2 linked regions of the Struthio camelus genome follow. The main gene of each other region encodes a partner of the protein of the gene in region 2 in a complex. Links are inferred from orthologs where the notes say so. Each region holds a gene or a part of one and is shown on either strand. Other genes may lie near its edges.

Evidence for each region. The genes of interacting proteins can lie anywhere in the genome.
Region 1: the proteins of LATS1 (region 2) and WWC1 are in contact, whole or in part, in a crystal structure (PDB 6J68), measured with the Mus musculus proteins. The link is inferred for Struthio camelus from reciprocal best matches to the Homo sapiens genes LATS1 and WWC1. Residues at the interface, in NP_034820.1 of Mus musculus: Ala546, Glu547, Ala548, Pro549, Ser550, Tyr551, Gly553, Pro554, Pro555, Pro556, Pro557, Tyr558, Leu562, Leu563; in NP_740749.1 of Mus musculus: Asp17, Tyr23, Ile25, Asp26, His27, Arg30, Thr31, Thr32, Ser33, Trp34, Asp64, Val67, Tyr70, Ile72, Asp73, His74, Lys77, Thr78, Thr79, Gln80, Ile81.

The regions. Positions count from the first base shown.
Region 1 is NC_090954.1:17,999,871-18,006,702, forward strand, and holds the start of WWC1 (protein KIBRA), read left to right. Parts: upstream 1-3,821; 5' UTR 3,822-3,882; coding exon 3,883-4,001; intron 4,002-6,832. UniProt on the Homo sapiens protein: Regulator of the Hippo signaling pathway, also known as the Salvador-Warts-Hippo (SWH) pathway.
Region 2 is NC_090944.1:82,015,131-82,022,742, reverse strand, and holds the start of LATS1 (serine/threonine-protein kinase LATS1), read right to left. Parts: upstream 3,002-7,612; 5' UTR 2,738-3,001; intron 1,131-2,737; exon of another isoform or gene 903-1,130; intron 1-902. Other genes in the region: nucleoporin Nup43, read right to left, coding at 4,805-5,019, 6,285-6,407. UniProt on the Homo sapiens protein: Negative regulator of YAP1 in the Hippo signaling pathway that plays a pivotal role in organ size control and tumor suppression by restricting proliferation and promoting apoptosis.

The DNA of each region.
Region 1 (6,832 bases), on a different chromosome or scaffold from region 2:
CTAGAAGAATAAAGCAACCCTCCAGAAAACATTTGCTTCAAGTAGAAGAACGCCTGAGGTTTGAAGAAAGCAATTGTACTCTGGCAATTGAACTCAAACCCATTTTCCCTCCTCTTTCAGCTCAGGCACTTGAAGAAACCTGTTGGGGTTAGGAGACTGGTACTGTGTTCTAGCAGCTTTTGACACCCATCCTTTTGTTAATTATACTCGATTAAGAACAGAACTTTAAGTGTTAAGTACAAAAACGTAAACTTTTGAATGCATTAGAAATCAAGCAACAAGCAATCAGCTTCTCTGAAACACGTATCGCCAACAGAAAATGGCTGCTGTTGTTACTGAATAATTTGTGAAGCAGCCTGTTGCGGACTCTGCAAAACTGCATGCAGTGTCGGTGTGCAGCAAATGAGGTCATATGCTGAGACATTGAACCCAAGGCAAAAAAAAAAAGGTTTCTGCAGACTTTGTTCTCTGTTCTGTTCTTCCTTTTCACATAGGTAAGGGCTTACCTAGGGATCATACCTTCCCTTTGTTTGCTCATGAGAAAACAATCACCTGTTTGTTTATTGCTTTATAGTTCAAACAGACTCTGATACCACTGAATTCTTTTGTTGTGAGTGTGAGTGGTAAAAGGCAGTAAGTTACTGCACACACATTCCTGATTACATTCATAAGTTCATGTGGTTCCATGGAAAAATAAGATCTTTCAGCTTGAGTCAGTACAACCTGCAAATATTTTCCTGGGTATTTATTTCAAAAAAAAAAGAGTTTATCTTTTAAAAAAAAATCACACTATTAGTTTCTTTATAAACACAGACAATAACATCTGCTTATTTAAATATCCCTTCTCTATCATCTCATCTATATATTTTCTGAAAATTTGAAAAAAAAACCCACTCCAAAATGACACATGTCTTCTGGACGTATCTCTGGGCTTTAACAGAAGGCCACAATACAGGAACACGAAAATAGACATTAATTTGTGTTCAGCTTGTTATTCTTTTCCTCCTAGCTTTCTCTTGCAGTATTTTAAAACATTATTGTTGCTGGTTTTTTCCAGTTGTATCAGTTCCCCCTTTTACATTTCATGAGAAGTATCTTGCCTAGTGTTTTACAAAGAGAGAAACACCATTATCCAAGATTAAAAGGAGTGAACAGAAAATGATGAGCTGAAGCGACTAGCCCGGTGTCACCTAGAAATGTGTTGCAGGCTGCTGGCTCAAAACCCAGGAGTCCTGACAGTCCCATCTCTGGTTGCTGCAGTGCACTGTTCCCAGCAGTGAGTCTTCACTTCTAACAGCAATCACAAGCTTTATTTAGAGCTGTGGACGAACATAGTGTTTATTCCGTCATTCTTGTTTTAATATTACTTTACAAGCTGGGCATATGGTACCGCTTATAAAAGCATCACATTTAGCTGCCCCTCCAAATTTGGCTTCAGATAAAATGGGGTAAAATCCAGATATTCTCCAAATGCCTCACTTTCCATTTTGTCATTTTCTTCCCAGTTCAAGCACTTTATCAGCCCACTGCTGCTGCATTTGGTTGGCCTTCAGAGAACCAGTAGTTCAGATTCCTGGTGGGTTGTCAGAAAGCCTGAAAGATGTCGATCTTACCCTTGAAATCAGGCACAAAATGGGATACTATTGCTAATCGTCTTTCTTGCATTTATTTTTCCTCTCTAGCCCTTCAGGGCTCAGTACTTCCCCATGCAGCTCCCTGCATCCCGTCCTCCAGGCTCCGCTTCCACCCTTGTGCTTTGGCAAAGATCCGTGCTCTGTTCTGCTGTTTCAATAGAGGGAGCAGCAAAGTTCTTGCTTCCCCCTCACGCCTCACAGTAGAAAACTGGTGTAAGCTGCAAGGGACACTGAGGTAAGGGTGTTCTGCTCCTCAGCCTCCCTAAACCAGCTGGTCGGTGCTCCCCAGGGTAAATGTTATCTCATGCAAAAGCTCAGATTCATTACCACAAGGTGCAGTTTGCCCGTGTTAGCTCATGGCCTGATTACTTTGCACCATGTGGACTGTTACTCTGACATCTTCTCATGGACAACCTGCTCCAGCCTTCAGCATTACCCAAACCCTGGGACAGAGGACTGGGGAGGACACTGCCTCTTAAGTCCCTTCCTACCCACACCGTAGCTGTGCGTGAGTCAAGCCAGCCCAGGTACTGATTGCAACTGAGTCACAGCGACAGACACAGTGTAGACACTCTTAGCCATCTATGGGCTTATGTCTTACATTTGGGACTTTCTTGTTGTCACGTAATTTCTTTTTATAATCCTGCCTTACAGTGATTAGCTTATATACAGATCCAACAGCAAAGAGCTTTCACTCTTGAAAAATCACCTTGAGTGTAAACTGAAAAGTCATTAGCATCATATATATATATATATATGCGTATATATATATAGGTAATTTCAATGTCATTGTCTATTTACTGATTTTCGGCATAAACAATTGGACAATAAGAGCACTTGACTGTCAGCCCATCTCTGTTCTCCATGGGTACAGTCTCCGCCTAACCTGCAAGCGGCATTACCCTCTCACTGCGCTTGTACAACGGGGACCCAGAGGATGGCTCTTCCTGGGGCGAAAGGGAGACAAACCTGCTAGATATGGATGATATTAACCCCCCCCAACTCCCAAAGCCCTTCTCTTCATCATCAGCAGAGTTTTTAATGTCTATATTGTGCTCGAACGGCTGCTAGGGGGTTTGCTTTTTCAGTGAGTAGTCTTGTGAGCTGAAGGCTTTATGAAGACGTTTAGTCGTCTAGCTGTGCATCTAAATTCCTCTTTCTTACTGAAAGAGGATTGCATTTTTCTGTAGGATTGTCTCATTTGCCTGAAAAGGGCTACACTACACAGTCTGTGGATATTTATGTGCCTTGCCGTACGGAAGTTAGCATCTCCGACAGCGTCCTTTAAAACCAAGGGCTCGGACGGCTCGGGACGCAGCTCCCGAGATTCAGATTACTTTTCTGTGTTTTCAGCGATTCTTATCACGTGTTTCCCTTACTTTTCCTCGCCCTGCTTTCCCGGCTGGATGAGGTAACCGACTGCGGAACTGGGGGCGAGGCGGCTCCTCACGACAGCTCTCCCGCCCTGCCCCGGCAGCGGGCGGTCACTCGGCTCGCGAGGCGCCGCCGAGCGCTGACCGAAGCCTGCCGCCGTGCCCGCCGCAGCGGCCAGGCGGGGAAGCGTGGGCACAAACGTCCCCCAGCGTGCTGGGGCCGCTCTGAAACACGCCTTGCAGTCGCGGCCGGTCCTCCCATCGACTCGCTGCCTCCCCGCCCTGCCGCGGCCGTTAGCCGTCAGCCGTCAGCCGTTAACGGCTAACGCCCCCTGCGGCGCGGCCGCGCGGCGCCCCGCCCCCGCGGGCAGGTGCAGCGCAGCGCCCATCCCCCGCCCGGCGGCGGCGGGGGGGGGGGGAGGGAGGCGCTCGCGCGCCTACAGCAGCGGCGGCCGGCGAATGGCGGGGGCGGCGCTATTACCTGCATTACAGTAGCACCTGGGCGCGGGCGGCGCCTTTAAGGGCCGGCCATCCCCCTTCCCCCCCTCCGCCGGTGCCGGGCCGGGCTGGGCAGGAGGGAGGGAGAGGGGCGGCGCGCGGGGGCCGCCGTGCGCGGAGCGGAGCGCAGCAGGAAATGGAGGCGTGAGGGGGCCCCGCCGCGCCGCGCCCGCCCCGCCCCGCCCGCCCGGGGGGCGGCATGTGAGCCTGCCCGGCGGCGGCGGCGGAGGGCGCCTCCCTGCCGGCGGCTGCGCCGCGCCGCTGCCTCGCTGCCCGCGGCCGGGAGGAGGCGGGAGGCTCGGCCCTGCCCCGGAGCCGGCCCCGCCGCCGCCGCCGACCGGGCGCTGCATGGGGCGGCGCGGCCCGCGCCGGGGACGATGCCGCGGAAGGAGCTGCCGCTGCCGGCGGGCTGGGAGGCGGCGCGGGACTACGACGGGAAGGTGTACTACATCGACCACGGCAGCCGCACCACCAGCTGGGTCGACCCCCGCGACAGGTGGGCGGCGGAGCGGGAGCGGGGCCGGGGCCGGGCGGGCCTGGGGCCCTTCGCGGCTGGGCGCGTGGCGCCTCCGCCGCCCCTGGGGCGCCGGGCAGGTGCCGGCCGGGCGGGGGGGGCGGGCGCCGCCTGCCCTCGGCCCCTCTCCGGCGGCAGCTCTGCCGCCTCGGGGAGCGGGGGGCGTCTGGGCTGCTCCCCTCCACCGCCTGTTTCCTGCCCGGGCCGGGGGGGGGGGGGTCTCCTCTTGCGGCTCCTTTTCCTAATCTGCCCTTTTCCTTTAGTGCTCGCCTAAGAAGACCTGAAACAAACAAAAAAAATCTCCTGCGGAAAGCGTCAGTTATTTTCAAGGCACGCTTTGCCTTAGCGAGTTCTGGTTTGCGCGTGAGGCGGTTGTGGCCGGCGCGCAGGTCGCTCGGGCGTGCAGGTCGCTCAAATGCTAGATTACTGGTGAAGTAACGAGTTTCGAAATTTCACGTTTCGTGCGCTGATAGCTGAGGTTTCAGGATACTCTGCCTCATGAGAAAGCTCCATCTCAATGCGATTAAAATTCCAAAAAAAACCCGAATATACAGTTTGTTGTAAAGTTCAGAGTCATCCTCTGTTTGACAGAGAGTCTTTTCCTTCTTGTTTAGCAATTCCTGGATTTGTTTTGTCCCTCCACCCCGAATGGTTGTTTCGAGGGGTTTCCCTGGTTAGTGGGATGCCAGTGCTATTGATTACTTCCATGCTTAACAAAAAAACACTGAAACAGAGCTGGAAGTAAGAGATTGTCCGTTTTTTCAAGATTTCAAGGAGTGTTCCGCACCCCAGGAATAGTCTGTGTGTACTGTACACAACTGTAATCTGTTGGCCTACAGGAGATTCAGAACTCAACATTTTAAGGTTTCTCTCTCAGTAATGTGGCTGAGAAGAAGCTAAAAAGCTTGACATAAACACAGTGTTAAAAAAATCTCAAGTCAACACAAGCTTTCATTAGGAAGGTTCTCTTAACATCTTTATCTTGTTAAATAGAGTGAAGACAGTTGAAAAATCTATTAGGGCTAATAAAGGCTTATAAAATTCTGATTTGTCCTTGATTAGTAATCCAAAGATTGTATGGACAACTGAACGGATGTCTTATGCATGTGCACTGACTATCACAAAAACATTGAATGCTTGCCACTGTTAAAGGAGAACGTTCAGACATATACTGATAAGTCATGTCACATGACATATTCATGGTACACTTACAAATACACCCGAATGCACATGGCCCTGAGGAGCTTTGGGTCTGAGTCATCTTCCACTGATGCTACCAAGAAAACCATCTGAGTTAACGCCTTGCTCCCTTCTCTAAAAATCCTCAAGGTTTTGAGGTGTATCAGCCCATCCCTAGAACCACTAAAACATCAAGGAGTTTTCCCAGGACCTGGGAGACCCTTGTGCTTGTACAGGTTCAAATCCTGCTCTGCCGTACTTGCAGAAAAAATATATTCTCTTTAAAGTAATTAGCCCTGTCCATGAAAACCAGCAGACAGAGGAATTTCTGAGCAGCTCAAGTCATGCTCAGGGCAGTAGTGATTCAGATTTATGCACTGATCACTGGAGTTTTACACTATATTTTCAGTTTAATTTTTTTCTAAGCTTAGCCTTTTGCAAGTTGCTTCTAAGACTGTTGCAACTGAGAGGTTGATTTGTGCAATTGCTGCGGTGCTCGGCATGCTTTACTTATATATGCCGTCTCCTACCCAGTTAAATGCAATTGATGTTAGAGATGTGGTTGTAAAAAGGCAAATTTCAGGAGAGGGGGAGGAGGAGGTTTTGTTTTAAAGCTCCTTAACCCAGTTGCTGCAGAATGGCAAGATTTCAGTGTGACTGTACCTGTATGCTGTCTGCTCAGTGTAGACAGTGAGCAGCAACCGGTAACTGAAGGTGGGAGGCAGGTTTTAAAGCTTCCCTAAGTCTTTCATTCTAGCTTAATTTAGTGGAAATAAACATGATCAGGGATACAGTCTAGCTTCAGGGCATAGGTTAGCCCATTGTTTTTGTGGCAACAGTTGGTGTTAGGTTTGTAGCTGGATAGGCATTGTGTTAATGGAGGCTTGCTTAATGAAAATACTGCAGAAGTGGGCCTGGATACGGACATGTAAGGAGTATCAGCTAGCAGGTGACTGCGTTGGAGAAATCATGGGTAGCGTGGGTGGTACCGTAACAGAGACCTTTCTTCACATACGAATTTCAAAGGTCTAGAGGCTTCTCTAGCTACTAAATTGCTGAGAAGTGGGAAACCTCTTCACCCCCTGTGAAGGGCCAGGCAGAAATTCCAAATGCGTTTTTGTTGCGTATCTGCATGCATGTTATCTGTGCTTGCTTGTCCTGAGGTCCCTCACATTGAGGTCCCTCACACCTTGTGCCTGTAACTAGCATATCTCACTAGCTTACCTGCCGTTTGATTTAACGCTCCAGTCTTTGGTGCCACACAGTGCTACTCTGTCCAGGACTCTGTATTGGACAGTGTATCCAGTGTACCTGGGAACCTCCTCCCTATCTTCCCGGTGCTTCTCCAGACCTGGCTTCTCAGGGGCCGGGATCTCCCTCTCTCCCTCTCACCCCTTCTGTCATTTTCTTCATCCTGCTCCATGCAGGCTCTAGGACCTCTTCTCTGCTTTGGGGTGGGGGCTAGGTAGTCTACCGGATGGTAGGCTGATGGATGTACCAGATGAGCTGGAAAGGGCTGTTCTGGGTGTGTGTAGGGCTGTGCTGCTGCTACTGAAGGCAGCAGAGTGAGTTGGAAATGTGGCTGTGGACAGGCGTTTGGGGTGAGGCTGGGGGAGGAAGGTGGTTTTGATAGG
Region 2 (7,612 bases):
TAGCTTAGAGGCTTAGTGATTTAGATTACTTGTTCAAATTCAGTCAAAATTAGGACTAATCACTAGCTCACCACTGGCAGGTAATCTAGATAAAATAGTTAGTATCCATCCTGTGTCAGACAAGTATCAAATGAGAGTAGTAAAAAAAATGTCCATATGTAAGTTCTTTCTCTTAACACTTTCCACAGGACTTTAATCCAAGAGAAAACACTTGTTTTTCACCTATATGTTTTAACCATAATTTTATTTGGTGTTTCACCAAATTCACTTTACAATCACCCTGCAGGTAGCTGAGATAAACAAATATAACACCCACAGGAGAACTCCAGGTCAAATTAAGATGATACTTAATCTGTAAATCAGGAGACCTAGAGTCTACCACCAATTCAATCATATGGCCTAGGGGGGAAAAAAAAAAAAAATCACCTTGTACACTGACTTCTTTATGTAAAAAAAAAAAAAAAAAAAAGAGATAATTATATTTCTTTTTAAAATGCTTTGAGAATTTTAATACAAGGGATGTTTTAAGTATGTGGTAACTATTATTTGGTTGGCAACTGCAGCATACAGTATATGGACTGACCAGCCTTAGAAAATAAAGTCATCCTTTCACATAAGTTTTTAGCAGAAGCAGGGGTTTATACCAGTGTAAAACAGCCAGTCCACTTATTCCGTGCCAGCATTAAGTAGTTTGTAAGGCCACATAGAGTGAATCAAGCCAGGGAACCTATCCAGATAAAAAGTAATTTTTTTTCCTAGGGGTTTATTTCTTTCAGCAGCAGTATTGGCTAACAATTTCATGGGTCTGTGAAACTACAGTCTTAATTGCTCAGAAACCCAATTAAAACAGTCCTCCACTGTAATGAAGTACAAAGCGGCAAGTATTATTGACCATAGCTCACCTTGCTTTGGAGGACTTCAAAATTCAGGGACCGTGAAGTCATCTCCTCTTACAGACATTTACACACATTTTAAAACAATAAAGTTTTGACCAGATCAGTAAGTAACCTTTCTCAATCATGTATATCTAACTAGCAAACACTAACTGAACCTGAGGGAACGGCCGTGTATTCTCCCTTGCAGTTCTGTATGGTTAAATGCCCTTGATGCATCTGTTTGTTAATGCAAATACTTCCACTGGTGACATTCTCCATTTCCCTAAAGCAGTTAAATCATTTTTTCTTCCTTTTCAAAACATAAGGATAAACTATTTTCTTCTACAGGTCAAACTGTAAGGAGAAAAAAAACAGTCTGTTTAGAGTGTACCACAAAAGACTGGACAATAAAAAATAGGCGTTTGAATGAAAACACTTAACGGTTTCAGAAGGCGACAGTAACACGCAACTGCTCTGTCAATGCCTTTTAAGCATTTCTGGGAAGGAAAATATACAGCTTTTTAGTAGCTTTGTAACATTTAATATTAAAAAATTTTGAACATACATTTAAATACTACACAGTGCTCAATATTCAGCTGAAAGTAAAAACAATCTATTTTGATTTCCTCTCCCATATCCCTATTCTATTAACTTAGCTTACACAGGATCTCAATCAACTCTTTCTTTTTAGAAAAGATTTAAAACAAGAACTTGGGAGGCATCAGATTAACTTTGTAGGGGCTTGGCTTGAATCAAAGGAAGCAGTTCTTTGGGTAACAGGTGGTTGGGCTGAAAAGCTCTTTTGTCAAACGATGTTTTCAGCACTAAAAATTTACATAGGATGAGCAGAAAACCGGGCACGGAAAATTTGTAAATAATTATGACTACATACATTCAAGGAAGACTCTGAGTTGAAAGTGACTGGAGGCTAGCTGAACACAAGGAGCGCTGTACGCTTGCTTCTGCTGCTCCTTTCCATTCTCGTACTCTGCTATCTCCTTTTAATAGGATATAGCTCTTATGTACAAACGCATTCTCAGTTCTTATTATTGCTTATTTCTTGAGCACGTAAGAGTAATCTTCATTGCTACCGACAGGGCAGCCATTTAAAACCAAAGCGTAAGTAGCGTTGGCACAGACAGGTACTAAGGTAATTCTAATAGCACAGAAGGATCCAACATGTCAAGGACCACCCAGAGTAGAAGTACAACACTGGCGTGAGAATTTTCAGGATATAACAGTCATGAGTATCTCAAGTCTATCCACTGTGTTAATTGCATTTTTGTTGCACAGCAAGTACGAGACCACGACCCGAGGTAAAGCAGAGATGCACGTGCTACCGTATACGTCCATCTGGAAGAAACGTTTGAATCCGGTCTGCTGAAGTGCGGCTTTCCTCCGAACCTTCAGCGTTCCCCGGGGGAGATAAGGGGGAACTAACACCATCAAGCACCACCACTGCAGCGGCGAAACCCTCGTGAGGCGGCGGCACCGCGGCCCAACCGGCGGCCGCCGGCCCGCCGCCGCCACCACCACCACCCCAGCCGCAGCCGCGGGGCCCGGGCGGCGCGGACACCGCCTCGCCTCCGCGGAGGAGCCGCTCCTCGGTGACCGCGAAGCCGCTTTCAGACGCACAACCCCCGGCCCGGGCGGCGGGAGGCAACGCCGCCTACCTCCGGCCGCGTCCCGCTCGCTGCCGGCAGGGAGCAAGGGGCCCGGGCTCTGCCGCTCCGCCGCCGCCGCCGCCGCCGCCGCGGCAGGAGGGGCCCGGGAAGGGCCCGTTATGGCCCCCACGCCCTGGCCGAGCCGCTCTCGAGCCCCGCCAGCGCCCTCTCCTCGCCGCCGCGGCACGCCGGACCTACCTGCAGCGAAAAGGCAGCGGCGGCGGTAGCAGCAGCAGCGCCCCGGGCCCGGGCGTGTGCGTAGGGCGCTCGGCCACGCCCCTGCGACGACGGCAACGACCTCCGCGGCCCTCAACGCCGCCGGCAGCGGCTCCTCGGTCGCTCCGCCAGCGCCCCCCCCTCCCGCCACCGCCGCCACGGGTCCCTCAGTTCGGCGCCGCCATTTTGTCGGTGCCTCCGCCGCGGAAGGTTTCCCGGATATAGGCAGCTCCCAGCCTCCTTTGCGCCCCCCCCCCCCCCAACCCGGTATGGAATGCAGCGGCCGGCGCGGCCCAGCCGCGAGCGCCCCACGCGGGCAGGGCGGTGCGTCCCCCCCCCCCCCCCCCCGCCATGGTAAACGGCCGTTTGCCCCCTCCCCCGCCCGGCGCCACTACCTTGTAGCGGTAACGGGAGCTGCTCCACACGGAGCCCCCCGCAAGGGGGAAAGAGGTTTCAGGCATCGCTTTTTTTTTTTTTTTCCTCTCCTCCTTTTAATGGCACAAAAACCTCGTCAACCTGGAGCCTCGTCAAGCGCTAGGAGTCTAGTGAAGCTGAGCTCAAAACCCGGTTAATCACCACAGCTGAGCTCGCATGGTATTATCGACTGCAATAGATGCTCACCACGGCTGCGAGCATGCTGATCAATAAACTTCGGTTTTCCAAGGGGAAAGATCGCCGACACGACTGAATAAAAGACTTCTTACAGACCCCCATCTATAAGTTCCCCAAGAAGAATGATCACTTCCCTACTCAAGCAAAGTGTCCCATTTCAAACAAATAGGGAAATTTAAAAACTAAAATTTAAAACTAGTAAGCCTCCTAGCAACTCAAGTTCTTTTCTGAAGAATACCCCTTAACTAAGGTACAACCCACGTTCTTCAGCTAGACACACAGGAAATTCAAATCAGGCAAGTCATTGTGAGAAAAGATGAAGAACACTCTTCTCACCGCCTCGAGAGTGAAATACTCTAAAGCTGTTTCGCTGACGAGTGATTTTTAAAGCCTTATAACTCCATCTGCTGCTGCCCAGATCCTAAGATTTCCCTCAAAGTGCCAAATCCCATTCTCAAACCCAGTCCAGAGAGCTCTTAGGGTTATTTACCCTCCTGCAACAACAAACTAAAAAGCACATCTACTAAACTAATCTAGTAAGTCAGGCCAGTACTCTTGTGCAAAATACTTTATTAAAAAGAGAAAGGGTTCTCTGCAACAAAAGGTAGGTACAGCAGTCATCCTAAAATTAATTTTTCAAAGATTGCAAAACAAGACTAGATGGAAAACTGATAGCGTCAGTCATGGTCTTTGTCACAGATGGTCTTTGTCACAGATGTGTCTCCATCACATATTTTAAAACAGCCAACATGTCCATCACTTATGGCCACTGAGCTATAAAAACACTTTTCTGATGAGAGAGTTATAGGCACATTATCCAGATGGAGTTTTAACACGTTGTATCCGTGATGAAGTTGTAGTAATCCAAAATAATGCTACTAAAATGCTAAAAGTCTTATAGGACCTTTCATATTTTACAGCTTTTACAGGTTTCCTTTCCAGTTCTCATGCACCAGCGTAAAAAGCTATGCTTCCAAAAAATATATATATATAAAAATCTCAAATAAAAAGCAGTCTCTCTCAGCCGACATAAAAAGAACATCAAAGAACCTTATGATTTGGCCTTAACATGTGGAATGTCTCTACATATACATGAATAATCAGGGGTTTAGTTTTTCTTCACCTTGTGCATTATGGACATCAGCTAAGAACAAACATCTTGCACTTACAGCTAGCTTCCTGCTTGCCAAAATGAAGCAGGCAACGGGGAAGAAGTGAGATCAAGCTTACACAAAAGCTGGTTTAATTACCCATGGTAGAGCATGAATAATAAGGGGCAACTTTAAGAGTCTGAGGTAACTTGCATTCCTTTTGCAATAGCAGAACTAAGCTGTAGGCCTCTCTCCCACATGCTCATAACAGTTTAGTTGGAAACCCTCATGAACCTGATGCGTTTCCCAGTAGTTCAAGGTGATTCAGAGTGACACTGAAGTAGTTTCATGCAAAAAGGTGTCTGTTAACATAAATAGCCTCTGCATCAGTACCATACACTAGACATGGTCCTAAAATATCTAAACTGTTCACAGACAAAGTCTGATGTGGAATTAAGTTGGTAATCTCCATGCGGTCTTTGGTAGGATCGTTGCTTAGCCAGGCACTTACTACAGATTGGTTAACGGTATTGTGGGAAAAATATGTAGTACTTCTTCCTCCTGAAAGTGAGGGAAAGGGAAAAAAAATTAGTTCCAATTTAGTTTAGTCTCAGAATTTGGAGAAACATAGCAACTAAAGGAGAGACATAACGGGAAAAGCATTTTAAATTTAAATCAGTTTTCAGATTAGCTAAATGATGTACTAGTCTTCCTGGTAAACAACAACAAAATAGCTAAAAGCCAAGTACTTCAAATGTTTACAGAAGCCTGCTACCAGCTCTCTCCTCAGTTAAGAGGGCAAATAAGTCAGTACAACTAAGAACCCATCTCATTGAGCAAATAGTATGAGCAACTACAAGTTTTTCTAGCTGAAGACTAAAGCAATGGACCTATGAACCAAAGTCCACTTACGCAGTGGCCTTGCTATATTTGAGGCATCAGCTTTGCTGTAATAACATTTACTCCCCACTGTACCTTCTCTCTACCTAATCTGGAGAAAGTGATATACCTGGATTTGACTTCAAGCTTTTTCCACAAAAAAATTCAAATCCAAACTGAAGTTTTGCAGTTTGAGAACTATCAGCCAGTATAAAGCTTACAATGGTTTAAAATGGTGCACTTAAGGGGTTATGCAGTATACCTGAGAACATGCAGAGTGCGATTTGACTCTCAGTTATACTATTATTCCCCTGTACAGAACTCAACTTTGAATGGCAGCTTTGAGGCCAGAGGCAGAAGATATTTGAAAGTTCTCCACTTCCCCCACTTCAGAGTTTCCCCTCTGAAGTTGCAAGCAATTAAGCAGTCTGAGATTAGAAAGCAAAAAGGCATTTTTACATCAGTTTCATGTCTTTGAAATCCTACCATGACACAAAGGCATACAGTTTCACTCACTGACAATCTTCCACTTATGACTTGGAAAAACTGCCTAAAGATTAAATTCATAATTCCACTATCCCGTTAACTTATAAACTATATTGGTGTTACCGAATTTTATATATCTCCCTCTGAGATTCAGGTAGCAATGTGTCATTTAGGCCTCTTTCATGTCTGGTCCGCACGGATGTGATTTAAGTGAACTAAATTTATCCCTGAAATTCTTTATGCGCCCCTTCACACACTAGACAGAGCACAGTGAGGATAGATAAAAAACACTGCTTATCCCCGTAAGTACTTAGTTGTCCTAGAGTGCCTACCCGTGTCTAAGAAAAGAAGTTGGATTTTTGTTTTCTGTATTGAGTTAGTAATAGAGAATATAAGATCAAGTGCTTTACCTAAGTTGCCAGATGACAAATTCAATGCAAGCTGACTTCAAACATCCTTACCTTGATGAAGGAAAGATGGTTTTTCAGAAACGCTTGTGGACGTATCCCAGTGCCAAAGAGATCCGTCTTCAGAACATGTAAATAAGTGATCTGGGTTGGAGGGATGGAAGTGAACTTCCCACACTAGAAGTAACAAGAGAAGGAAAAAAAAACCCAAACACTAACAACAATAAAACACACATACTTATTGGCATGCAAACCATGCTCCTCGTGATTTCTACACTGCTGTGATACTAAAAGGGGTTTGATACCTCAATTACACAGGTTATTCAATCCAACAGCAAATATGTTTAGTTACTATAAAACTATGAGCCTACTTCAGGCTACTGAAACTACTGAAGTTTATTTATGACAGTATAAAGGTAACTTTTCAAGTATCAGCTAGGATGGCTTCTTTCAATGGGGACAGCTGTCAAGATACAAAGCCATCGTCTCACTTCCTGGTATTTCAAACACGCTCATTTATCCAGCTAAGTAGTGCAGTAGGTGCCTCACAAAGGCCACCAAGGTCCTGGTATTGCAAAGTACAGAATCTAAAACTGCAATTCATGCACATGTAAAAAGGAATCACACATATAACAGTAAAATAACGCTACTACAGGTATTTTAAAAACAAACAAACCACACTCTTGGCCATATGCAGAAAGAAGCTACATAGCCAATGCCTTCCAGTTACACTAAGGAAAAGGGAAGGAAGACAGACTAATCAGCTCCAGTGAGAGAAAAGAGCTTCTAATAAAGAAGAATACTGCTTTCTGTTGGAAGTTGAAACAGGTTTTCCTTACTTTTACGGATTAATGAATCTAGACCTCAGGCTCTGAAGAGGAAAAAAACCATTTCACAAACATCAAATACCCAGCTCTGCACTGTGGCTAGTAAGTACATTCTATATCATACAAGAATCCAGGCCTCACCAAAACCTTGCATTCTTAAGGGGTAGGGGGGAACTACCATCAGTTATTTGCTGCAATCTTCCCTCCCCTGAAAAAGCAGATCACTCATTTTGCTGTACTTTCAACACTGTGAGAGTTGTTAGAAGTTAAAAGCTTGTCTGAATTCAGACATTCTCAATAGCTTTCTCATGCTTTCTTCCCTACTATTAAGTTTAAAATTTGCACACATCAAGCATTCCTTCCCAGAACAGTCATTTTGTGTCTAAATACCACAATTGTCAAAACAGTTAAGTCAGTAAAAGTTCTTATCTCAAGAAACAATGTACTCCCTAAATATAACTCTAGTATTGAATCAATAAATTGCCAGAACAGAAAGAGTCGCTACCTTCTTGTTCATATAACGGTACCAGGAAAGTGAACTGTTTCAGCATGGTG